Astyanax mexicanus: one gene and its partner. The protein of the gene in region 1 interacts with the protein of each later gene in a biochemical or structural test. Links are inferred from orthologs where the notes say so. Each region holds a gene or a part of one and is shown on either strand. Other genes may lie near its edges. The genes, in order: sytl1 and rab27a.

Region 1 (13,093 bases):
CAGTATGGACAAAAAATGCAATGTGCCGTAACGGTGTTAAATATCCTGTTCTCAACATTAAATATGATAAATAAGGATTCTTTAAACTCCTCTAAGGTTCTCATCACTTGTCTTGCCTGCACTCATTCCGCTTAGTCTCAGAAGTGGTTTGGTGTGGTTTGAGTGTTTACTCTGCACTTTTACCTCTCTCTAAGCTTCTTTGCCTCACTCCAGCCTCCCTTTGTAAAAGAAAAGTGTATTAAGTATATTTTTAAAAGTATAATTAACATGAAAAAGTACATACATTTTACAATTAAAATATGTACTTAAATTGTAACTTAAGTATATTTCAACTGTAATTAAGCTACATTTAAACACAACATAAAAGCACTAGATTGTGATTTTAAGTGCTTCTTTCGTACAACTTCTGCAAACTTAAGTAGAATTAAGTATGTGGTTTTTAAATATCATTTTAATACACTTAAAGTAACATTTACATAATGTATATTGTCCATGTAATAGTTTGTGTATTGACGCACAAAGTGTACACCTTACGCTACTGGAAAAAAAAAATACACGTACACTTTAAGCAGTATTTAATGTCACGCTATATATATATAAACCAGAACAATGTATAATTTAAAGTATATTGCTTAAAAATACATTTTATGGAAATACAGAGAAAGTATATCTAATGTGTATTTTCATAAAGTATATTAAATTGAAAATGCACTTTTAGTAGTCTTTACCCTTAATTTAAGCACATAGAATAGAATAGAATAGAATAGATTTCCTTTTCACAATGGTCATTATGTCAGATGGGAACCGACAATGTAATGTGAAGATAATGTGAAGTAATTTGAGTTTGCTGTTATTCAGGTGTTATGCAGCCCTTTTAATGTGTTTATCGTGAAAACCCTTATTACAATAACAACATAGATACCTTTTATTTATTTATCCAAAAGTCCTAGCAGTTATAACACAAACCTAGAACATACATGGCATCATTTTTGCCAGACACTTACGGGTCAGAGCGGTTATTACGTGCTGGCGCCAGGTCCTGACAACAACACACACGAACATGGAGTTCCTCCTTCTTGGGATCATAATGCAGAGAGAGCTGAATTCGCCCAGTCACTGTTACACCTCCGAAATCCCCCACACTGTACAGACTCATCAGACTTCCACTCATCTGCAATAAACACAAACACTTACCACAGTCAGTCAGATTATTCTTGCAATAACTTACAGCTCCAGAGGCAAAGGTTTAAAGGTCCTGTTGCTCTGTGTAACAGCGGCTGAGATGTCTGAAGCACCAGCTCAATGCCAGCGATGTTGCTCTTAGGTGCAGGTGTGTGACGTACCATATGACTGGAGTGCAGGCTGTTAATTGAGCCAAATCTGGTGTCAGCCAGTTCAGTGCTGCCAGAGTCAATATCACCCTCTGAGTCCACCTACATACACACACCAACAAGAGAGGAGGTAAAACACTTCTGTGCAGATGTCTAAACAAGGAGTGAGTGAAAATATTGATGTATTGGAGTATTACAATATTTTGTTTGCAATTCTATATTCATGTTTAAAAACACAGTACAATTGTTTTATCATTAGTTTACCTGGTAAGATTGGTGTCAGACAGTAGCCCACTAGGTAGAAATGTTGTGCTCCTTTATTATATTCCACTGTTATGATACTGTTTATGCATGTTTTGATTGATTTTTAGATTTTTGAAATATGAAAGTGTTATTTCTACTATGACAATTTTCCTAAAATTTGATTTAAACAATTAAAACACGTCTTCCTTAGAATATCACACTATATTTTGAAATATCGAATAGTAACCCCAGTATCATCTTACATATTGCATTGCCAAGTTCTTACCAATACACATATTCAGTCTAAACACTAGGTACATTACATAATATTCTGTCTTCAGTTTGGGTTACTGCATTATTTCACATGAATGATTAGACCAATAGAAATTGCCCAAAATTGGCATCTTTACTGTTTTACTTTAAATTTGAGGACAATGCTGATAGTTTTGTTTGGACAGCAACGTTATCTGTTAAACATACCAGCAGTGTTGGAGAGGCATTCTGTAGAACTCTGTCATTCACAACATCCGAATCTGCAACACTTTCTGAGACAGTAGTTCAGAAATAGTGATAAAGAAGTAAGAGAGAAGAGAGGAGAGGAAAAAAAGAGCCTTAGAATAAAGTGAAATAGGAGCCACTTCATGAATCTATTCACTTTATGAACGTTCAGTTACTGTTGTGTGACGTTCACACAATGCACATGCAGAACTTACCTTCAACTCCTGAACTACCTTCTGTGTTCTCTTCATTTTTCTGGGGATAAAAAAATGTAAATGCAAATATATATACAGAGGTGTGCTTCATGTACATTATAACCCTGTATGTATAATTTAGAAAAAAGACGATTAAAACATTTTCTATTTACGATAAACAGTATATCCCAGACACTCAGATTCTTCCACAGAAAAACAGCCTAAGCCCAAATTGCCATAATAAGAATTTCAACTTTTAACCAAAGCTGCCCCTACGTAAATACCTCTTATTCTTACATACAGTACACACAAACAGAAATACTGACCTTGGGGACACGTTTCCTCCTGGGCCGTGGTTCAGGGGCCACAATGAGGATGGGACTGAAGAGGAATGATTAAGGTTAGTTGAAATAATGAGATGCTTTTGATGATTACTTCATATCAGTTTTAAAGTGAAAGAAACAAAAAGTAGCCACTCTACAACCATGAGCTACAATTATTAAAATGTCTTGTCTAACAGAATGTCAGTCACTCCAGTACAACTCAGAACTCAACTACAACCACAGCTCTGGTTGGTGATAGCACAATTACAGTACCGCACTAGGTCACTGTTTAAAGGACAAAATACCTGAGGACCTTTTGAAGGTTCCTTAATTAGAAAGAATCTTCATTTTAAGATCCTAAGAAGAACCTGTTCTTAAGGACAAAAGCCCTCAAAAGAGCATTAAAGAGCTTCCACATAGTTGGAACTAGAGCTGCACGATATTGGAAAAAAATTACATTGCAAATGTTCTTTTTTTGACTATATATATCGCGATATTAAACAATGCAGGGCCCATGGCGTCACCAGCCCCACCCCTACCCACGCGCTGTCTTGCATTCGAGACGATCAAGAGCTGAGTCAGCGCTGAGCACTCAAAACCAGAGGAAAACAACAAACAACAGTAATAGGCTCTTTAATCAGGCATTCAAATGGGCTTTTTAAAAAAGGTAAATAAGAGCGTTTTTCTGGGATTAAAAGCGTGAATTCAGCTGTAACTGGAAATATCTGCACAAAACTGTACTGCACTGAGGTTTGGACTGGTGCATTTACAAGCACATGCCCAACCATGTGGATAGAGGCCATATGCAGTGTTTACTCCTGCCCCTCTTCGAGCTTCTCATGCAGACAGCAGCAGCCTGTCACTTACACAGACACAGAGACAGCGCTGTGTATCTACTTCTCGTGTCAAGAATCAAAACATTACAACATGACGTGTTTGATTTAACTGCCATAAGTGACATCACATGTCCTGCAATTGTGCATGTGCACATTGCGATGACAATGCTTAAACAATATATCGTGCAGCCCTAGTTAAAACCATATTTCATACTAAAGAATCCTAAAGGACTTAGAGAAACCTCTAAAAGTACCTTTAAGACAAGACCCTTTAGTTCTTAGTGACATAGAAACTTTTATAAAAGGAACTACTTATTAATTACAGTGCAAAACTAATTCACATCAAATAGGGCTTCAGACTGTGACAACTTAAACACTGCATCAACCTCTCTCTCTTTTCTTCCTCCTCAGTTTCAGTTTCTTTTTCCACGATTTCTGTTTCTTTTAGATCTGCTGTGTCCTCTACTGCGCTTTCTTCCTGATTCTCCGACAAATTCTGTTCCTCCTTATCCTCAAACACCGACATCACAAGCGTATCTGCACAACAAGAACAAAGACAGAGAAGGGTAAATCAGCGTTTAACAGTAACTAAGAAAAAAATACATAAATGTGCACTATAATGAGGGCACAATTTCACTTATGAGGTTAAATGTCAGTAAATATAAGACCTTTGCCCCGTTTTTTGCGTCGTATGGAGGCGTGGATAATGTCAGCCCCTCTGCTTTGATGCCGTTTGGCGCGCTCTTCAGTAAACCAGGTCCCACTGAGGGAGCGCAGACGCACAGGGTCCGATTCTACCTGCCCAAGCTTGCTAAAAACACAGACATAGAAACACACATACGAAAAATGACCGCAAAATAACATACATTAGAATGTCTCTATCCTTATCGGCAATATTTGCTGACTCATTCTATAAAAACTTTAAACTTTCTACCTCAGTAACTGCTGTGCTCACGCATGTGATATATGTTACAGTATGTTACATATCTCTGCACCATATTCTCACCATGCACATTTTATTGTACCGTATCAATACTGCACTGTCCTGTCTGTTAAATTGTCTCATCTTTTGAATTTAATGTATTTATTGTAGTGTTTGCACTTTGTGTTTGTCTATTGTATTGTTGTTCCATGTTGCACCATGGTTCCGGAGGAACGTAATTTCAATACACTGAACAACTGTACTCAGATGTAATAATAATAAAAAGCCTCTTGACTTGACTTAACATTACCATTCAAATTCCTTTCCGTTCCTTGTTTTATAACCCTGCATAAATTATATCAGAGATTATATCTGTCCAGTATCATTTATTTTACTTTAATCCTCGAGATCCTATATGAAGATATTTGGAATTCATTATTAGTATTATGACATTCTGGATCATTGACTTCTGTTACAAATCTGATAAAATTCTTGTATTTTTTAATATCTCAGTTAGGGGCGTGCAATATCATATCATATACAATAATAAAATTTAATTTTAATTTTAATGCAGTAGTGTATTCTCGAAATTATTGTTTTTAAATTCAGTGTTTTGTTATATCGGCAAGAGTATTGTTATCGCAAAAATACAGTAAAATATTGTGATATTATTTTAGTGCCATATTGCCCGCCCGTACCCCTGACCCACTCACCTGATCCTGCCCTCCTCCCGCTGCCGTAACTCAGCATCCCTCAGCAGAACGTTTAAAATCATGGTCTGTTCCACCTCGGTCAGGTGAGCCAAATCCAGCAGATCAGCTTCCTCCTCCATATCGAGCTCAGCTCACGCACCTGTGATGGAAAGTGTTTACTGAAATGATTCATAATCAATGACGTGTGATGATTCATAAACAATGACGACTATTAATGATATTACTTTTTGTTCTATGCGATGATAATGTGTACTGTGAACATTTTACCCTCAGTGAGCTTTTCTGAAATGCTGAGTAAGAGTTTTCTCTATCTGGCGCCAGCAGTGTGTGTCTATGTGTGTGTGTATGTGTGTGTTAAAGGAATGTACGTCACAGCTGTTGTGTCTACAAGCCCTGGCGCCAGGGCCATCTCCCTCTCCTGCTTGCAGTATTTTGAGGACCAGCCTGAGATGCTCACTAAGGGATTATGTCATATCACATGTCAGAAGAAGTTGACGTGTCACAATGGTGGCACTGTGCCCATAATTGGGAAAGCAAGATAGTAAGGGTGGGGTATAAAGAGAGCTTGGCACTCTTGCAAGGCAGGAGTTCACTCTGTATTCATTACGTGTGTCTTCTCAATAAATCTTGTTACTCATTCTGATCAAGACTCAGAGACTCTGAAAATTTCTTTCTTCCTGTCATTATTTTTCCACCACACACCCCACTCTGCATCAGAAACACCAACAATTAGCACTGATCACAATCAATCACCTATATCTGCTTCAAATCAATAACACTAAAACTGTTTGATGTGACTCTACACACCAAAGCAAAGCACTCATGTTCTGATAGAGCAAACCTGGAAGTTAAGGGTGGAGCTTTAAATGAGAATAACAAAAGTCACCTGTACACTGTGTACACACACACACACACACACACACACACACACACACTTCACTGCTCCCCTCCAGCTCTTCACAGCTCAGCTCTTTAACCACTAAACAAGCGAAATTATCTTTTGCCTGTTTGCTCAGTATTTGGACAGCTAAAACCAAACACGGCATAAACTGCTGAGAAGGACCTCGTAATCAGTTCATGTCGCAGATATCTCACAGACCAAATATCATTTAAAAACTGAAATCTATGCAGAACTCTGAAGTTCATGAAGTAGTTCAAATGCGGTTTGCAGATTCTGTTTTCAGAAAAGACACTTTAATGGCTAAATCAACAGTACATCAGAAGGGACTGAACTCGCACCATCATCACTATCACACACTTCATGATTAATTCACATACTTTTACATTTACAAACCCATGATGTTTTGCCTATAACTACATTGTACCAAGAGTTTAGGCTGCTTTACAAAAAAATCTTTAAACAACTAAAATGTGTACATTTGGCCTAAATTAAGTAATTTAATCTTTTTAATCTTTTAGCTTCATAAAGCTATCACAAAATATATAATAGAATAATACATAAATAAACCAACCTGGGCAGCACAGGGAGAAGATCAGAACATGGACAGAATCAGATGCACCACAGTCAAGTAAATCTATTAAACATAGCCTGGTTACCATCCCTGGTCCTGTAAGTGCCCTGTCCCCTGCATACCATGCCCATGTGGGGTCTGTACAGGGAGCTCAACTGGGCCATGGAAAAATTTAAGTCCATGGCCCACATATAAATGTATATGATGGGTAAAATAAATAAGTAAAATACATGTACAAATCCATGTAGAGCCCATGCTGATGTAAAACCCATTTGATACCCATGAGAGCATATCTGCTGGGACTGCACGTTAGTGTTTTCCTGAGCTAAAACACTCCTAACTCTCTAGAAACACCTGAGCAGAGTACAAAACGAATGTCTGTCAAAATCCAATTTCAAAATCCAATTTCTGTTCCTCCAAAAATAAAAAGAATTCTGTTTAAAAAAAAGTTTGTAAACAACTCGTTTTAAAAGATAAGAGGAATTAAAGCTACTGAAAAGTTGATACTGAAAATGATAAATGATTGTGATTTCACAAAGTCCAGTTTCTCCCAAAAGAGCAATTATTATCTAAGATAAGATACAATAAGATAAAATAAATAATAAAGTAATACATTTACAAGGTACTCCAGATAAAAGAAAGAATAAAGTAATACATTTAGAATGTACTCCAATTGTATTACAAATTATGTTTGAAAAAAACATTTAAATCTTAAATCTACGTTAAATCTAAGTTCACAGAAGTTATACTTAAAAAGCACTCAAAAACACAATCTAAAGCTTTTTTTGTTGTGTTTAAATATAGCCTAATTACAACTGAAATATACTTGCGTTGCTGTAAGTTGTTCCAAAGTAGTGCATTTAGTATGTATTTAAGTATGTATTAATTTTAATGCTAAAACTATGTACTTTACCATGTTAAGAACATTTTTAAAATATATACTTGAGCGCACTTTTCTTTTATAAAGGTAGTGTTGTTGGGAAAATACAGTTTGGCACTGGCTCTTTATTAGAATAATCAGACTCAAGACACAGATGATATAAAGAAAAATACACTTCGTATACCACTGGCTACAAGTTTTCTCCCAGGCAAATAGATTAAATTTCATGTGTTTGACTTTAATAAAAGTAGTGTTGCTGGAAAATACAGCTTGGCACTGGCTCTTCAACAGAATAGACTGACTCAGGACAGACAAATATACTTAATATACTACTGGCAACAAGTTGTATGCTAGGGCTGATGATCATCAGATTAATTTAGATGAAATGTGAGGTTTTGGGTGCAGGGTAAGCACCAAAATGTGGAGGAGTGAGGATCCTCCAGGACCAGTGCTGGGAACCACCGATGTTCTGTCGAGTTATGCTACCTATCGATATGTGCTTCTTTATGGAACTGCGCATGCGCTCACCAACATTTTTTTTAACGTTCTCATCATGTTTTTCATGATACTTCATTAGTTTTCATTGGGAGCATTAAACAACTTGATTGCATGTTTAAATACTGTAAATATCAGTTAAAAAAATAAAATATAAAACAACGTTAAATGGGCATAACTTTTTACCTTTTTTGGTGTTTTTTTTAAATTAACACTACTAGGGTAGCACGGTTTGACAAGGTGGCACAACTCGACAGAACACCGGCCTAAACAAGGATGCAGGGATAGCAGCAGGGAGCGCGCACGAGCACGCGCACCAACAACAGGCAAGAGTAAACAATCAGCAGGCTGTGAAGGCCAGAGACTCTCCCATTACTACCCTCAGTAAGTTAGGAAACAGATGCATTTGGGTCAAAAAGTATCTCCACACCGTGTGTAGAAGTGATAAACTCTTCACACAGTAGTTTATAAGATTTAAGTGATCAGTATAGTCCAGTTTCTGACCCTGACCTTTCTAACAGAACGACTGGGGTCTTTCTGAAGTGAACCTGCACGTGTCTCTACTGCAAATCCGCGCATCCGCCCAGACTGACTGACTGCTATACAGTGTGAGTGCAACTGAATGAGAGCTCGTGCACGCGCACCTGCTTCTCCAACTGACCCTTTACTTCACCAACACACACACACTGAACACAGAGTGAGTTAATTAAAGTCTCCTACCTGCAGGTCACTCAAAGTGTCCCATTCAGCGCTGTGTGCTGGAGTTAGCATTAAGCAGAGTTTCAGCAGGTGGAGCGCGAGCTGGAGCAGCACAGCTACAGTCCTGTTTCTGCATGAGCTGCCTTCATTAGAGACTCAGCCCCGCCCCACAGCTCCCTGCAAAATCTGAACCGGACTCCACAGCTCACTGCACAGAGAGACTGATTAATATTCATCACCTCATTCTCCCCACTCTCTATCCAATCTATAACTAAATTAAATTAATTAACAAATATATTAATAAATACATGAGATATTCACATTAGACCATCAAATACTTTAGCTAAAGTCATTTGTGAAGAGTGTAGCTTGTCTGTCTGTCTGTCTCCGTCTATCCATTCATCCATCCATCCACGAAACTATCCATCCATCAACAAAACTTTTCTATTTGTCCATCCCATTGTGTCTCCCATTCTCCTTTATTATATCTATTATCTGTACTTGCTGTAAAATTGGGAATGAGAGTAACGTAATTTCAATTCTCTGTATGTCCTGTAGTATTGACAATAAAACTACTTGACTTGACTTGATCCTCCCAACAGCCTATCCATGTGTTCATCCACTCACCAACCATCCATCCATCTCACTCACCAACCATCCTTCTGTCCGTCCAACAATTTAGCCATCCATCCATTCATCCATCCATCCATCCACCCACCCACCCAACCATCCTGTCTTTCCATCCACCAATTTAGCCATTCACCCACCCACCTATCTATCCATATTTTTCCATCCACTAAGCTATCAATTCATCCATTTATTTGATCACCAACCACGTACCAACTTATCTATTTTTATTTGTCCATCCATCCATCCATCCATCCATCCATTCACTCACCAAACTATTCATTCATCAACAAAACTTAGCATCTATCCACCCATCCTGGCATTCCATTCATCCATCCACACACCCACCAGTTTAGCCTACTTATTTTTTTATTTACTTTCAAACAACTTTATTAAGTAGAAATATAATTATACTATTGTTTTCTGAAAAAAAAGTATATCATGCTATTAATGCTACATTTAACTATCTATCTATTTTGGTCTGTCTTTGATTGCCTGAATTTCCTTTCAGCTGTAAGTGTACATATTACATGTAGTATCATTTAAACAGAAAACAAACAAAACAAATGTAAACCTTGTACTTTGAGGCTAATGAGTGTAACTCCAGTAGTATGATTATGAAAAATACATTCAGTCAAGTTTAAAGTGTAAATGGTGCAAGTGAATGGACTTGTATGTAGAGAATATTGCATGGCTATGTTCATGTTTGTGCACACTGCAGTCATGCACTCTGATCTGCAGCTCCGGGTAGCTGAGCATGGCCAGTGCTATCAGTACACACCTGCTGAATACACAGCCCTTCACACACAAGTACACCCAGTAAATACACAGAAAGCAGCATAAGCATTATGCAATCATTACACAATTACACAACTTCCAAAACCAAAGGCTGAAACGCTGAGTGTAAAGAATCCGTGTTTTTATTATTGTAGTAATTATTTTGACGAATTTTGGCAAGTCTTCTTGTCTGCTGATTTATAGTGGCAGGTGAGAAGGTGTGTACATGGGTATTTTATTACTTCCCCATCCAGTGTGTGAAAAAGTCCCTCCCATGGAGACACACAATGATTATCAGGAACATTCTGAACAAACCTTTTGTTATGCTTCATTCTGAGTAATGCTGAGACACCTAGGAATTCTTCTATTCTTTTATAACAGCAAAACATTCATTCTTTTAAAGAACCATTTCTGTTTTGTTAAGCATAAACTGTTATAGGCTTGGTCATCAACTAAAAGAGACATTTTACTCATTGAAACCCTTTTTTGGATTGCTTTTAGAGCCACACTGCTTGTAAATATATGTAAATTGATCATGAAGTGTTACTTCTGGGTATGGCGTGGGAAGCCACACCTGCATCAGTTGTGAGGTGTTATTTTGTAAGGCTTAAAACTCACCAGTGTGCTCATGGCCAGCTATCATGAATTACTTTTGAGTGAATTAGTTTGAGCAAGGTCTGATAGTGGGTGCCAGATGAATGAATCATTCCATTTCCAAAGTTATGTGGCCCTTTAACATCCTCAATCCAGGAAAACATTGTAGAAGACATTACCATCTACAGTAGACAACGCAGTGGGTGGTAATGATCATGACGAGCAGCTGACATGTGACTCTGGCATTATCACCTCCATATTCATTGCAGGAGACCTCACATGCACATCCTGCAGGTCAGTGCACTTGTCTTTAGTGTCAGTGGAACATATGCAAAAGTCATAGGACACAATACTAGTTTTCTTTACTATGACATGTGGCATGTAAGTGTATGATAATATCATAAACAATACATAAAAGAAAGAATAATGTTAAAATAGTAGCTGTAAGGAGATAACAATAATGAAAATATCAATATCCCACCATAAATGTTCTTATGTGCTTATTCTTAACACAGCTAATGATTAAGCTCATGTGTTTGAATACAGGAACTTCTGGCGGATATACATTTACTCATCCTTAGAAACTGACCTCATAAACTGCTCCATATATCTGTTTATTACCATAAAACAATTACTGTAGAAAAATGTAATGTACTCTCATAAAAAAATATTACGAACTATGATAGATATGTTAAATATACGAAATATAAATATTACGAAATATATATATTTTTTATTTAAGTTTAGATTAAAATAGTTTGACTGCAAAGAGCATAATGAAATAGATAAATGAACAGATAGATTGATAGATAGAATAGATAAGTTGGAAGGACTGTGGTTGGTGAGCTAATGGATGGATGAATGGACAGGTTGGTAGATAGACGAATAGATCAAATAAAATATATTTTAACGTGGAATTCAGTTTAATCTATCAGTAATAAATAGAAGAATAAGGCACGTGTATAAATCTTGTGCACTGTAAGCCCGGATAAGTTTGAATTTACTTAAAAAAATTGAGGAAACCTGTTGCCTTAAAAAAGTTAAGTAATGGGTTATGAAAAGTTAAGTTAGCATGACTTAGAACATCAAGTTATTACAACCAAGGGAAAAGTTGATTTTTTTTATATTTGTTATACTTTAAGACCGTATAAGTTGAGTTTACTTAAAGGCGGCCAGTTTTCTCAAATTTATAATGGGGACTGAAAAGTTGAGTTAGCGTAAATTAAAACATCAAGTTATTACAACTAAAGGGGAACCTAATTTATTTCTAAGGTAGCCCAGGGGGAATAACTACACACTGATGGTGAGTGTTAGTCAGAAACTGTTGGACACACCCAGTATGCAAATAGATTGTGATAGAAGCCAATGGAAAAGAAGCTGCCAGTAGCAACAGACTAAACTCAGTTATTATAAGTTGATTTAACTCAAAGATCTCAGTTTGAATGTTTATATGTGCCCACAAATGTTCAACTAAAAATAGTTGAGTATAGTTAAAAAATATATCCTATTTTATGTAAAACAGACTTAAATCATTTGAGTTTAAACAACGTATGGGTTTACAGTGTATAAGTCTGTCTATAGACGGCTTTCCTTAGGCCTCAGGTCATTAAGACACATATGACTATTTTGACAGAGTTAAAAGCTTTAGCAGCTGAGATGGAAGAGACCCTGCATATGACAATTGTTACCTAGGCTCTTCACCAGTCAGTGTTTTATAGGCAAATTAAATTTATTTAATTAAATTGTCCAAAGGCAAGTAAGAAACTCCAGGGTCAAGTACAGTAAGGATCTTTGGTTTGATGAGGCCAAAATAAAGCTTTCTGGACATCAGACGAAGCGCTATGTTTGGCAGACAATAAACACTGCACGAGATAATAAATCACCACGAGCACATCATCCTCAATGTGAAGCATGGTGGTGGCAGCATCAATTTAACTCCTTCGGAGTAGTTGTACGTGTAGTAGGTGTCTTTAGTGGTAACCTTCCTCACTAGTCTCCTTTATTTGTGAGGATAGCTGTTCCAATAAGAAACTCACTTACAAACACGATGGGGTTTGGAATGTGTTTATTAAAAAGGGTCTTTTTTTTGTAAAAAGTCACATACACATTCGTGGTACTCTCACACACTCAAAAGATCTTACATGTAATCACACACAGACACATTCAAACCCATTCTAACACACACCTATTTCACACACACACACACACACACACACAACTTCACACACACACAAACTGCAAACACACACTGCCAAATATACCACCCTTATTATCCCTCCCACTCATTCTGTTACACAGACACACATCCAATCTTATTGCTATATTCCCTGAGCTGGTCCTCATAACTCATCATGAGCAGCTGCTGCTTCATCTGCCTTCAGTTTGAACTCGTCTTCAGTGATTTTCCCGTCCTTGTTTCGGTCCTGGTTATTATACATATTCTCGATGATTCGGTGAGGATCAAAGCCAGGGGCCAGACGACCCTTGCC
Region 2 (13,237 bases), on another chromosome or scaffold:
GTCCAGTCTTAACTGCATCATAAACGTGTCTTTTCATTGCATATATTTCGTATACAGCATCAATCCATTGTTTTACAAACCATTTTTATGATCTTTTTTAACCTTGCCTCAAAATGTGTATATATATTTGTTGCTAACTAGAATTAATCTACAATTTGTGGATGTTAAAATATTAACTGTTTTCTGTTTTTTTTTTTTTTCAGAATTTTCAAAATGTTTAATTAGGATTAAGAATTCCAGTTGGTAATTTTTAAATAGCCTTACCACTGTAAAACCTATGTTTTTTGTGCTTGAATTAAAAATGAGTTAGGCGATTATTTTAGGAGGTGTCGATATGAAAAACATAGCCAGAGCCGGTTTATAGAAAGGGTGCCCACTTCCTATCTCCACCGGTATGTTAGAAAATAATAACGACTAGAGAGAGCCCGTGAGCGAGCCCTCAATAAAAGTTGGTGAATGGAGCTAAAGGCTAAAACTGTAATTATAAATAGTTATTAATCACTGGTCTAAAACCTTACTATAATTTTGAAAGGTTGAAATATGCATTATGTTATAAAGCAAAAAAACAGCTTTTTTTTTTTTTTTTTTTTTTTACTGTTAAAGGGTTTCAGACAGTAAAGGCGCTAGCATTATTGCTCCAGCAATTAGTGCTGGCTGCTCGATATGCTGGAGTTTAAAATGTCTTACAACTGGAGTTTAAATGCTTTAAAATAGCGTCTTTGTTGCTGAAACAATTGATATTCTGTGGTGTATAAAAAATATTAAACATTTAGAAACATGTATTCATGTTAAAACATGTATTTTGCTCCATATCACTCGCCCTCTGGTGTCTGAAAAACTCAGAAACATTCTCAAATGGGCATGTGTTTTTTCCTACATTGTAAATGAATACTAAAATCATCCAGACTTTGAAGGAACACACAAGAAATTATGTACTACCTTAAAAAAGCGTTAAACAAACCAAAATACTCTGTGAAGTTTTTAGGTGCTCTTATCTGGAGTGCTGTTAACTAGTGGATTCTGAGGCTGGCAACTCTGATGAATTTATCCTGTGCAACAGATAAATAAAACATATTCTGGTTTAACACATAATTCTATATGTTTTTCTTTATAGTTTAGATGACTTTAGTATTAATCTTCAATACAGCACATTTAAAAATAAACCTCAGTAAACATCTCCTCGTGGCTGTATAAGAGAATAAATCAGTGTAATTGGTACTGATTATAAACACCATGGAAAATATGGCTAGTTAAATAAGTCGCTGTTTCGCGAATCTGCGTTTGTCCGCTCTGTGTTGCCGTACATGACCTTGCTGTCCTGGTATGGCAGCGCTGTGGGTAGGAGCAGCAGCGCTGATTTTAATACGTTTTTCTCTGTATTTATAGTAATAAATAATATTCTGTAGTCCTGCTGGTGGTGTAGTCAGTCAGTCGCCTGTCTCCGCTGTGTGTGAGAGTCAGACCCGCGCGCTCTGATCCTCCTGAGACTGCTTAATCTCCCGGAACTCGGTAAGAAGTACGGTTGGGCACGGTAATCACATCACGATATTTTACCCTGTTTACGCGATAACGATAATATTGGCGATATGATAGAACATTTAATATTTAATATTAATCTACAATGATAAAAAAATCAATAAAGAAAAAACATTGAATGAGAAGGTGTGTCCAAACTTTTGACTGGTACTGTATAATGTAAATTAAACATTACGTAGAAACAGCTTTGGTCTGTTTCTGTATAATTTGTAATCAACATTACTTAGAAAGGTTACTGTGCTGGTTACACAGTTACTATACGCTGAATTTTAATTCTAAGTGCTTTAGAAATAATTTATTTTAAAGCAAGATGAGCTGAAGAAGTTAGCTTAAAATGAGCATTTTTTATTACCAAACCAGCAACCTTGCTTGCTGACCCTGAACTACTGACGATATAAAAAAAAATAATAATGCTGTACTGATTTAAATTCTTTCTAAACTTCAGTTTTCACTTTCCTCCCATGCAGGTTGAGAGATGCAGATGACCAGTGTGATTTTTTGTCATAGGTGAACAGTATTTTCTGTAAAATGTAAACTGTAAACTTTAGATTATGCAACAAATTATCTAATATATGTATAAGAAATAATTGAGTAAAAATTAAATCTAGCATACGAAGCATATGAAATGTTATGCAGTTGCATGGTTTGAACACCTGAGGTCACAATCCCGCTAGTGTGAACCAAAGAACCAGAGGGCGTAAGAACAGAGTGGAGGATATGTCAGTCATTTTTGACTGCAGCCAATCACACAAGCGCTTTTTTCTGCTATATGGGGGGCTGGGGGGGCACCGTGATCATTGCACAAGTTTTGGTTCTCCAGGCTTATAAGTCTCCTTATTTTTTTGTCATTCAACATTTTTTGTTCCAAATATTGTGAGAAAATTAAATCATGAATCTAATCGAGAACAGAGTGAATCGTTACACCCCTGGTCATTGTATTATTAATGCTCTTTGTCTTTCCAAGAAAATTAGAACAGTAAGAGTTTCCCATTTGTATCAAGCAAGTTGTAGCCTGAAATTTATAAAGGATCATGATGACGATACTAAAACAATATATTGTGCCGCTTAATAGAAATAATTACTTTTAAAGTGTAAACTTTCTTTTTGTGCAAAATAGTTGCAATAAAATGTTTGTGTTAGTGGACTGCTAGTTGTTCTCTTCTGCATTAAATTAACTGAAATATTTCCTCTCTCAGCAGCAGACTTTGGTGGAAACTAGCAATAATTTTCGAATGGACTGAAAAGCTTTCTTTAGACTTGCCATCATGCTTCCAAGGCGGATACCATTCAACCAGATCGCTTTTGCAACTCTGCTCGGGGTAGGAGGGGGCATCTATATCTACAAACCCATGTTTGAACTTCCACGAAGGTCCAGAAGCACACCAAGCCAACAGGACATCAAAACTGAAGCAGACAGTAAAGGGACTGATCCAGGCGTACATGAAAATACTGCCAAACCAGCCGCAAGTGCAACAAATACTGGAGCAACACCAGAGGCTTCTGCAGCCAAATGAAGCTTGACAGTGATTCTCAAATCAATATGTTCATGCATCTGTGTGCCTTTGCAGTTTGTCTGTGTTTAACTAAATAAAAAGCCATGTACATATTCTAAAAATATGTATATATATTGATCCTGTGTATTAATTTATGGCCAATCTGTTTTTGTATCTGTTCTATTTTCATTATAGGTGACTTTTTACTCCACAACACACATCTACTCTGCATAACCCCAAAAAAGTAAAAGTCGTTCCTCTTCTGGTGTATGTGTTTATGAAAACCTAACACATATAGACAAAATAGTACAAAAATAAAGTTGGCCAATCAGGATACAGTGTTTAATTAGTTTTGACCTATTGGTTGTAAGTAACTATTGGAAGCGAACAGTTCAGCATCTGGTTTCTACCTCCTGGTTTCTGCACCCATTATCACATTTGTTTAGCTCCACTGAGCATAAAGGAGCACATTGTAGTTCTGTAATCACAGACTGTACAGCGGCTTTAAAAAGTATTCATATCCCTTGAACTTTTTCACATTTTGTCACCTTACAACCACAAACTGTGGCAAGATGTAAAAGTTGCTGTTCACAGACGCTCTCCATCCAACCTGGTTGAGCTTAAGCTATTTTACAAAGAATAATAGGCCAAAATTTCAGTCTCTTGATGTGCAAAGCTGGTAACAAACCCCAAAAGACGCTGAAGAAGCTGTAATTGCAGTGAAGGATGGCTCTACTAAGTATTGATTAGGTGGGTGAATACTTTTGCACATCCCACTTTTCAAGTTTTATTTGATTAAATTTTGTTTTTCCACTTCGAAAATTTGTGTTACTTTGTGTTGCGTCTATCGTTTATAATCTCAATATAATACATTTAAATTTGTGTTTCTAAGGTGACAAAATGTGGAAAAAGTTCAAGAGTATTTTATTAAATAGATTGGTGAAGCAAGAGTAAGACTACCGTTTCTGCACCTAAAATGATTTGATTAACAACGAGGTTTGGTTATGAAAACTTCAATAGCACATTATTGTCATATAGTAAATTTAAAGTTTTTTTTTTTACTGAAGTGGAGGTCTAAAGGGGGGACTTCTACTTTACCAGAGTTATATTTTATTTTTGGTATCTACTCAATTAATATACAGGTTTTGGGTACTTTACTCACTGGTTTTAAAGCACGAGGCCACAAGGTGGTGCAAAAATAACATCCACCAATTATGATGAAGAAAAGCAGCTGCTATTTATTTATTTTATATAACTATTGTTATGCTGTTATAAGATTACCATGCTGTAGAAAAGAAATGATGCAAATTGATTCTGAATACAGCACAGATGTTTTAACATGTAGTTAAAACCTTGTAAATATTAAAAAAACAAACATATAGACTTAATGTATAGAGAAAAAAGGACACTGTTTCACAAGGATTTAAACAAGCACAGGTATATATCCAGAATCATTAAAGTAAAAAGTACATTTTATTATATAAAAAGTAAAAGATGTATTGATAATTCAGACGAAATAATAGCATCACATAGGATAAGACAGATGCTAACCCTCCAAATTAAAAGAACCACATACAGTACAAGCCAAAAGTTTGGACAAACCTCTTCTCAATCTGTGTGTTTTTTTCCTTTTTATGATTTTTTTTAAATTGTTAATATAATATTGAAGCTATACAGGAACACATGCAGAATTATTTCGTAAACAGAAAGTGTTTAAAGGAAGATATGTTTTATACTTAAGATTATTCTAAGTATCACATATCTTTGAGGACAGATCTGCACACTCTTGATATTTTAATCTCAGTGTCTTCATGAGGGAGAGTCACCTGGAATCGTTTCTCAGCATCTTGAAGGAGTTTCTGGAGGTGCTGAACAATAGCTGCTGCTGTTCCCACGCTCATTCCAAATCATCATCACAGATCATCAGATTTAGATCAGGGGATTGTGAACACATTATTACTGTTTATTATATAGATCCATATGTGACCCTTAATCTTTTTATCTATTTAATATTAATCTATAATGTAATAATAAATATTTGAATAAAGAAAAACATTGAATGAGAAGGTGTGTCCAAACTTTTGACATGTAATGTTTGTATTGAAAAATAAACAAAATATTTTTTTAAACATTTGTAAATGCTTTATGAATTACGTTAGGTAAAAAGTTAGCATTTAACAGAACTCAATAGACAACAAACAACTGGTAATAAACAACAGATTTTGCTTGCATGTATTGTATTGCAGAAAAAAGTTAAAAGAAAAAAAACGGAATTTAATTTACTTTTTAAGGACTAAAAATATAGATTTACATTTGTTTTTTAAGTTATTTTTTATTAAACTTTTCTTGCATTTTCTTTTAATTACCTTTATTGCATTTTTTAGATTGCTAGACTAAACAATTTAATAATACAGCCATTCTGCACAAGGCTTTCTTGTTTAGATTTTATTTATAATTACCATTATTACATTTTTTTAGATTGCTAGATTAAAATTTACATTAATACAGCCATTCTGTAACAGTTGTCTGGTGTATTAAGAAAATAGTTTATAGGTTGTTTATTATTAAGAGATATTAATAAACAACGATATTATTGATAAAAAAATAACAAATATCAAGTTTCCGTTCCAGCAATTACTGAAAAAGTAGTGTAGTGTTGTGTTCAGTTATAGAAGCCTGTCTATCGTGGTCGGTGTGCTCTATTCTCTCCAACATCCTGGAGAAAGGAGTGAGGGAGGGGTAGGCCCTGTTTTGTTTCCCACCCGTACTCAACCCTCCTGTGCTCTGCTGTGCTAAAACTTCGAGCCCTCACGCAGCTCGTCTATTTGCTGTTGGTTTGCTTGTTCAGCTCGATAACCAATCGCAGCGCAGGAGGAGAGCCGCGGCTGGCCAATCCCATCTCAGCAAGGCGGGACTTTACCTAAAACAGGTGGGAAACGAAAAAGCGCTGAACGGGAAGTAGTGCTGCTGCTGCGTCAACCCCGAGAGACTTCAGCCGTGTGGACCTCGATGCAGGCTGTGCTTCAGCTTCAGGAAAAGCAAATTCAGCCTAAAGTAGCTTAAAGTCACTGTTTAAAACTAGACGCGTAGCTTTAAAAGGCTTTGGCGTTGGTATAATTTGCATAGCAGCGTTTTTTTCTTCAGAAATATCGACTAAGTGAAGGTAGCCGCCTGGTAAGTTAAACCCTTCTGCTGTCTACTTCTCTCAAAAGTTAATGAATTGGCTTAAAACTGTAAGTTTTTGCATTTTCTGCGTGATATAATATGTTTAAGCGTGTTAAACGCCCTTTCAGACACTTTTTTCGTGTTTTAAAGCATTAAAACTTTAATCGAAGTGATATTTCGGCTCACAGACTGGGAAAAAGTTGCAAAATTCCCAGTGCTTGTGACACATCACCTGTAGCTGATGTTTTAATGATGGATTGGGGGAGTTTATGGGAACAGGCAATGCAGTGCAGGAACTGGCAAAGCTGTGAGATTTTAAATGATCTAACCTACCCAGTTTAGCTTATATCTTTCTGTCTGTCTTGTCATGTGTCATCATCAGACACGTGGCTGTATGTTAGCACATTTAAAAGGGCTTTATAAACTATTTTCTTTAACCCGTAAGAGCCCAGATCCATTTCTGAATATTGATGCCATATCAAAAATGGAATCAGATAAATTCAGTGAGTGGCTCATTTATTTTTTCTTAATTATGTGCACATAATTGTAAATATTTAAAGTTAAACATGCTAAATTTATGGTGTAACATAAATGACACAACAACAATTTCATAACCTGTATTTTAACTAGTGGTGCCAATCTTTCAAAAAATCTATTACAATATTCTGTGATTAACTGCATTTAATCACACTTTTTTTTCTTAAGACATTTATATATATGTAAATAAATGTATATATGTAAATAAAAGAATAAATACAACAAATGTAAAATGCAATTATATTTTTATATTAGTGGTGAAAATTAAAATACTAGTGTATATACTCGCAGAATAAAGGCACTATCAATGAATGTCTATTTTCTGGTTTATTTTCATACATTTATATATTTTGGCATGACTGGGCTTTCATATAGTTTTGTGGCTTATTCTATTGTCAGGAGTTCTTAGAATATAAAACATTAAGACATTAATTTAAAGCTTTGATTACTATAGGGTTTACTTTTCCCTCAAGGGTACACAATATGTGAAGGAATCAGACTGCATTTGCAGGAAATCAGTAAACGTAAAATTGAGAGATGCCAACAACTTTAACACGTCTTCCTTTTTAAAACTTCCTATAGACACTATAAACGGACATAAAATACTCAAAATGTTTAAGTATTGTAACTATTATCTTCTGTTTCACAATTAAGACTTTAAGTTTGTCTAAATCTGGCGCATTCACTGCATGAATAAGGGATATAGATTATTGTATATACCTTCCCTGTAATGTGTATTATCATTTTTAAATAAAGTCAAAGGTCATATCTAATACCAAACATGCTCTATCTGCAGCCTGTTTGATTCTGATGATTGAAGAATTAAGATTTGACGTAGATTTTCACATGCTGACTAAGGAAATGTGTAAGTCTTCCTTTATTAGCTAATACATGTGTCTAGAACTAAGAGGAACCTGATTTCTGTGAGTAGATGCATGGTTTCCTTTCTACTAAATAAGACTGGTAGAAAGAATAAGGCAAGCTGGTTCTGTGCATTATTGGACAGTAGCTTTAATTAAAGTTATTTACCGTGATTACAGTTAATTGTGGTTTGATAAATATTTTAAAATAAAGAATATCAATAAGTTTCTTTGTTATACATTTTATTATGCTTTTTATATTATTTTATTATGATTTTCTGTAAAACAATTACAGTCCAGAAATGTTTCCTCCTTCCTTGTAGTCTGCAGGTTAGTTGCTGAGAGTGGATTGCTCAACCTTCTTTTTCTTATTAACTATATCTTTATAGTGCTCTACACTCCTGTGGCCAGGCATTGTTTTTGGACATGTTCTTGTTGAATAGAGCTGAAAGAGGAGTTATGTCATGTGTACTGGTATACCATTATTAATTTTACCATTACACTGCTATTACGTTTCAATGATATTGATATTTTTGGCCCTAAAGGTTAAAACAACATGCAAAATTGACATTTCCTGGCCCTGGGCTTGGGGAAAACCCTAAAAGGACACACTTCACATGTGCTGTTCTTGTCAAGTTGGGAGATGCAGAACCTTTCACTGAAAGTGAAAGAAGCTTGAGGCGAATGAGGCGGTACAGTAATATTACAGGATTTTATACAAATATGACTACACAGGTTACACAGGTTATGCAGCGCTACACACTTCTTGTGAGCATTGTGTGCTCACTTCACCAGAGTCACATAGTGAAGTTAGCAGCATATCAAGCCTGAAGAAATAATAGAGATGCTTGTCTCTCTATTACAATCAGTGGAGTATCAACATAATTTTAAAGCTGATATTTTAAGGTAAAATCGGCATACTGCTATCATTTGCATGACAATGTGGAAATTATATAAAAAATGTAGTTATTAGGTATCAGGGGGGATCTGTGACCAAACTTAGTGTCTCCTTTACATTCGAGTATGCAGTTGTGGTTGGGGGGGAGGTAATATCTAATATTAGTTTACATTATTTTGCTGTGTTAACATCAACAAAATCATAGGTCAATTTTTTTTTTTTTTTTTTTTTTTAAATGGTATAATTTAATTATTATACGTAGTACGGTCAAGAAAAGGAACTAAACAAATTCTTTGAATCTTTATACTATGAGACTTTAAGTACTTGTGAAATATGAGCTTAATAACTCAAAGTGAAGTGGAGTGAATTTGGATTTTATCCACATTTTACAGTTTAAATTAATACATTTTATGTGATTCCAACTTCTGAATACACAGAAAATGTAAAACTAAGATAAAAATTTCCTGCAGTGTCAAACCCATTTTTCACCTAATGCCAAGCGTGGGCTAGAGGCGTATAAATCCCCTAGTTTTGAGCTGATAATGGTGCTCCATCCAATATTTTTTGGGTAAGGTGGGGTGGATAGCTCAATGCAATTCAATCCTAATAACAATGCCCCAAAATCTAATAGGAAGCCTTTTCATGGACAGTAGAGACATTTATTATGGGTGCATCTTGATATCGGAATTAAATCAGTATCTGTATTTTCTGATTTGGTCGATAATTCAAACCGATACTTGCTGATGTATTTATTGTATGATTGAAAAGAATAAAGCATTGCTGGCCATGCTACTACAACTGGCCGGCAATGACTGCTCTACTTTAAAACCCGTTTATTTATGCTAAACATTTGTTTTAATAAACCTGTTTTTTTTTTTTTGTCCCTGTTAAGAGGGTTTAAAGCTGTGGGCGGTCTGTGTAAGGACCAGACTAAAGATATATACTTGTCACATCGGATATCAGCATCGGCACAGAACATCGGTGCACCTTTTATGAAACTTACTCAGTACTTAACACTAACTTTCAGTTTTGTTATTAACTTTAAATGTATCATATGATACCGTGATTTACTTGAGAAATTTCATTATTGTTTCCATATCGTCCAGCTCTAAATTAAAACACCCCTTTTTAAATAGACCCCTTTATTAAAGTTTCTTCAATAATTTTTATGTCATTTTTATTTCTGAAATACAAAGGATAAATTACATTAAGTGCTAGCCCTAATGTCAAAGAAACTAAGATTCAAACTAAGTGCTCACGTTTAGCTGGTTTGCTGTGAATTTGTAAGCACGTGTGGCTCTTTAGCAGGATCAGGAATGGGTGGTCACATGACACAGTGCCTAAAGCACATGAGGACCAGCTGAGGGATATTAGATGAGGATGGTTTGTGTGCCAGAAATGAGTCTGACTCATTGCATCCGTATTACCCTCGTCTGGGCAAACTGCACTCTCAATCGCTCTGTGTGTTCTTGGGCGTTCCACTATTTTACACTAATCTGAAACTAGTCGTAAATGAGCATTAGCTATGAGATGAATTAGGACTGGGTTGAAGGATCCTGTCTTTGATCAGTTTTTTTTTTTTTTTTTGTTAAGCCAGGAAATGTCATGATGTGTTTCTCACCCTTGTAATAAATGAACTATTTAAATCGCTCAGATTTTGTAACAATGTTTAAATTCTAACACAGAAGAGTCCATTATATCCCAAACATTATTACATTAAAGATACAGTGTGGCTAATTGTTGGGCTATTCATTGTCCTTTTTCTGGGGCTGTATATTAACTGTATATAGAGTCTTTGACCTGTAGAAATGTGAGTGTGGTGTAGTGTGCAAACACTGTAAAGTTTTAAAAATGTCCCAAACATCTGTACTTTATAGTAGTTTATAGATGAGAGAATGTCTAAGGTGTCACTGCTCATACCGTCCTTGGGTGTAGTGTACCTTGTGTACTCTGAGACTAATATTTTGTCAACCGCCCCTGAACTGTTCAAAAGCTTTCTGGCAGACACCTCAAACTGAAAATCGTCTGTCTCAAAAAAAAAAAAAAAAATATATATATATATATATATATATATATATTTTTTTTTTTTTACTATTACTGCTATTTTGTGTATTATTTGTGTTTTTTTTTTTTTTTTACAGTCATAATGTCTTCAGTTATTTGGGCTTTCATGGTTACAAGCCCCTCCTTCTCTTGCAGCTTTACCCGCAAACTGATTTTGGAAGGTGTGACTTGATTACTAAACAGACTCTGTGTTAAGCATTAAGAAAACTCCTAGTCATATTTCAACCAGCAAGCCGGCTCTTCATAAATAACTTGTATCTGGTTTCACTGCGCACAGGTTTTTCATCCTGAAAGAACTTTAATCTTGTCCTGTGTGCATTTTTAATGGGGACTGTGGGACCATGTTAGTCTGAAGCCCCGGTCAAGGTCTGAAGTAGCACATGTAAATTTGCATTCTCCTCCAAGTGATTTATCCTGTCCAGACTGAAAAAATTATGTGATTAAAATCATGTAATTCAGCGGAAGCCTGTTCAAACACAGTCTTACTTACTGTACCTTTAATGCATTATTATGAAAAAATTGGGAAACAATGAACTTTCCTGTTTTCCTGAACTTGCCTCATTATTTAAAGTTTAATCTTTCTCTGCAAAATCAAAATTACTGAATTATTTCATTGTAAGCCTTAATTTATATTATCCTCTCAGCAGATTGGGACCTAGCTAGTGAATGGGAAACTTGCTAAACTAGAGATTTAACTTAGCTTCTTTTACCCCATGAACATTGTGTGTGCATTTATATAAATGCCCATTCAGCCTACTGCAGTTTATTTAGGACTGATAACTCTAGAGTATGGATGAACCGATGTGGGAAATTTGAACCAATGATGGATAAAATGAAAGGTATCTCCTAAAAAATTAGTTTTTGCATTCTTTGGCTTCACAGTTATTTAGCTTACTTGTTCTAACAAAACAGTAATTATCAAACAATACAGATATAATTCTGAAATAATTATGCATCGCTACTAAGGAGAGTTTCAACAAAGTCTTTTTTTTAAAATAAGGCACAACATCACAAGGCCTGAGGAATAATGAGAGGGTAAAAACTATTCATGTAGTAATGAACTAGGACAGGGGTCGGCAATTAAGTTTGGCCGCGGGCCAGATTTATTCCAAGCCATTACATGGCGGGCCACAAGCACTTGGCGGGGGGGGGGGGGGGGGGGGCGGGGCTGACATTCAAGTGGGCTGATGTGGGTGAAATCTGTGGACTGACCATTGGGGGCGCTATTAATGATATACCTGTTTGTTAAATAATAAAAAAAAACGAATAAAAAAAAAAAAAACAGAATAAAGAAGCTAGCAGTTATCTAACAGCCCGTGTCAAAAAAATCTTTAATAAATTTTTCTGTTTTGGAAAATTAAGTTTCTAAATAAAGAGCATTTTTGAGACGGACTGTCCGATTTTTTTTTTTTCATTATAGTTCAACCTCCCGGGCCAGATGTTTCTTGCTTGCGGGCCGCATCTGGCCCGCGGGCCGCCTATTGCCGACCTATGAACTAGGACCTTATTAGTATTAGAATTAGTATTAATCTTTGTGTTAAATTTTTCTCACTGCACACGTCATAATGTGACGTAACAATCATTATAGTAGTGTCCCATTCATTAACAAACTGCTGTATAAGACTTTGTTACATTGTTGTGTTAGAGGTTATTCATTGGCTTGCATAAACTCAGTTTAAGACGACAGGATTATGTTGTAATGTAATGTGGAGTTTCCTGATCATCGTTTGTGGACATTTTACACTAATAGGTGTTTATGATGAGGAGTTCAGTTCAAGCACTGGCACTGGAAAAGAGAAGTAAACTCATTAAAAAAAAACTTGTCATGACTTGACATGAGTGTGTGTGTATGTGTGTGTCTGCATGGCACTGTGGGTCACACCCAGTTTGGCTGCGTGTGCCTGTGCCTTTGTTTAAGTTCAGTGGGATCTGCATATCCGCCTGCCTGCTGGCTACACTCTGTCCATTAGTGTTGGAGTGCTGCCCAGGCTGCTCGACACTCCGCCCTCCTGCCAGCCTCTCTGCTAGGAAAATATGAGAGGGAAAAAACCCTCGGGCTTCTCAAGGCATCCCTTCGTCCATCTCTGTGCAGACAGCGAGATCAGGGGTTTAGGCCTGTGACAGTATCAAGATTAGCAATATTGAGCCCAATATTAGCTCAGAATAGCACAAGGACATCGTAGGCCTGTTAACCTGTCTATGTCTATATATGTGTCTGTTCTTGTGTTCTTAACCTTTTTGCTGTGCAACCCTTTTTTAGGGATCAAAATATTAAAACCAGCCCTCCCCCAACTCATCCCCGACCGCACACTGCTTTTCCAAAATAGAAAAAAAACCTAACCGTGTGCAAAACTGCAATTAGGGGTGGGACAGTATATTGTAATTTTGACACATCCTATTGTTTCCATTGTATCCTATTGTTTTGATATTTGGCCTCAAATATTATTTTTTTTTTTGTTATTGATACATAGGTGCTCTACATTCCCTCAGATTCTTCCCTAATTTGACTTGAATCCATGTGGTGCCGCTAGGCCAGTCACAATAGCTATTTCTACGTGAACTATATATTGCCCCAGCAACAATTGTGATAATATTTTCAAGTTAAGACATACGTTTTACGCCACTAAAAAAATGATGGTTTAGTGTCATAATAATACAGTTAAAAAGTTTTAAAGCAGGAGTGT

What was found.
Region 2: the proteins of sytl1 (region 1) and rab27a form a complex in vitro, tested with the Homo sapiens proteins (3 studies listed by BioGRID). The link is inferred for Astyanax mexicanus from reciprocal best matches to the Homo sapiens genes SYTL1 and RAB27A.

What each region holds. Positions count from the first base shown.
Region 1 is NC_064410.1:50,001,447-50,014,539, forward strand, and holds the start of sytl1 (synaptotagmin-like protein 1), read right to left. Parts: upstream 5,195-13,093; 5' UTR 5,180-5,194; coding exon 5,061-5,179; intron 4,237-5,060; coding exon 4,094-4,236; intron 3,963-4,093; coding exon 3,812-3,962; intron 2,648-3,811; coding exon 2,593-2,647; intron 2,328-2,592; coding exon 2,288-2,327; intron 2,120-2,287; coding exon 2,055-2,119; intron 1,434-2,054; coding exon 1,344-1,433; intron 1,172-1,343; coding exon 1,005-1,171; intron 1-1,004. Other genes in the region: peptidyl-prolyl cis-trans isomerase FKBP9, read right to left, coding at 12,944-13,093.
Region 2 is NC_064416.1:40,330,984-40,344,220, forward strand, and holds the start of rab27a (ras-related protein Rab-27A), read left to right. Parts: upstream 1-5,984; 5' UTR 5,985-6,203; intron 6,204-13,237. UniProt on the Homo sapiens protein: Small GTPase which cycles between active GTP-bound and inactive GDP-bound states. In its active state, binds to a variety of effector proteins to regulate homeostasis of late endocytic pathway, including endosomal positioning, maturation and secretion.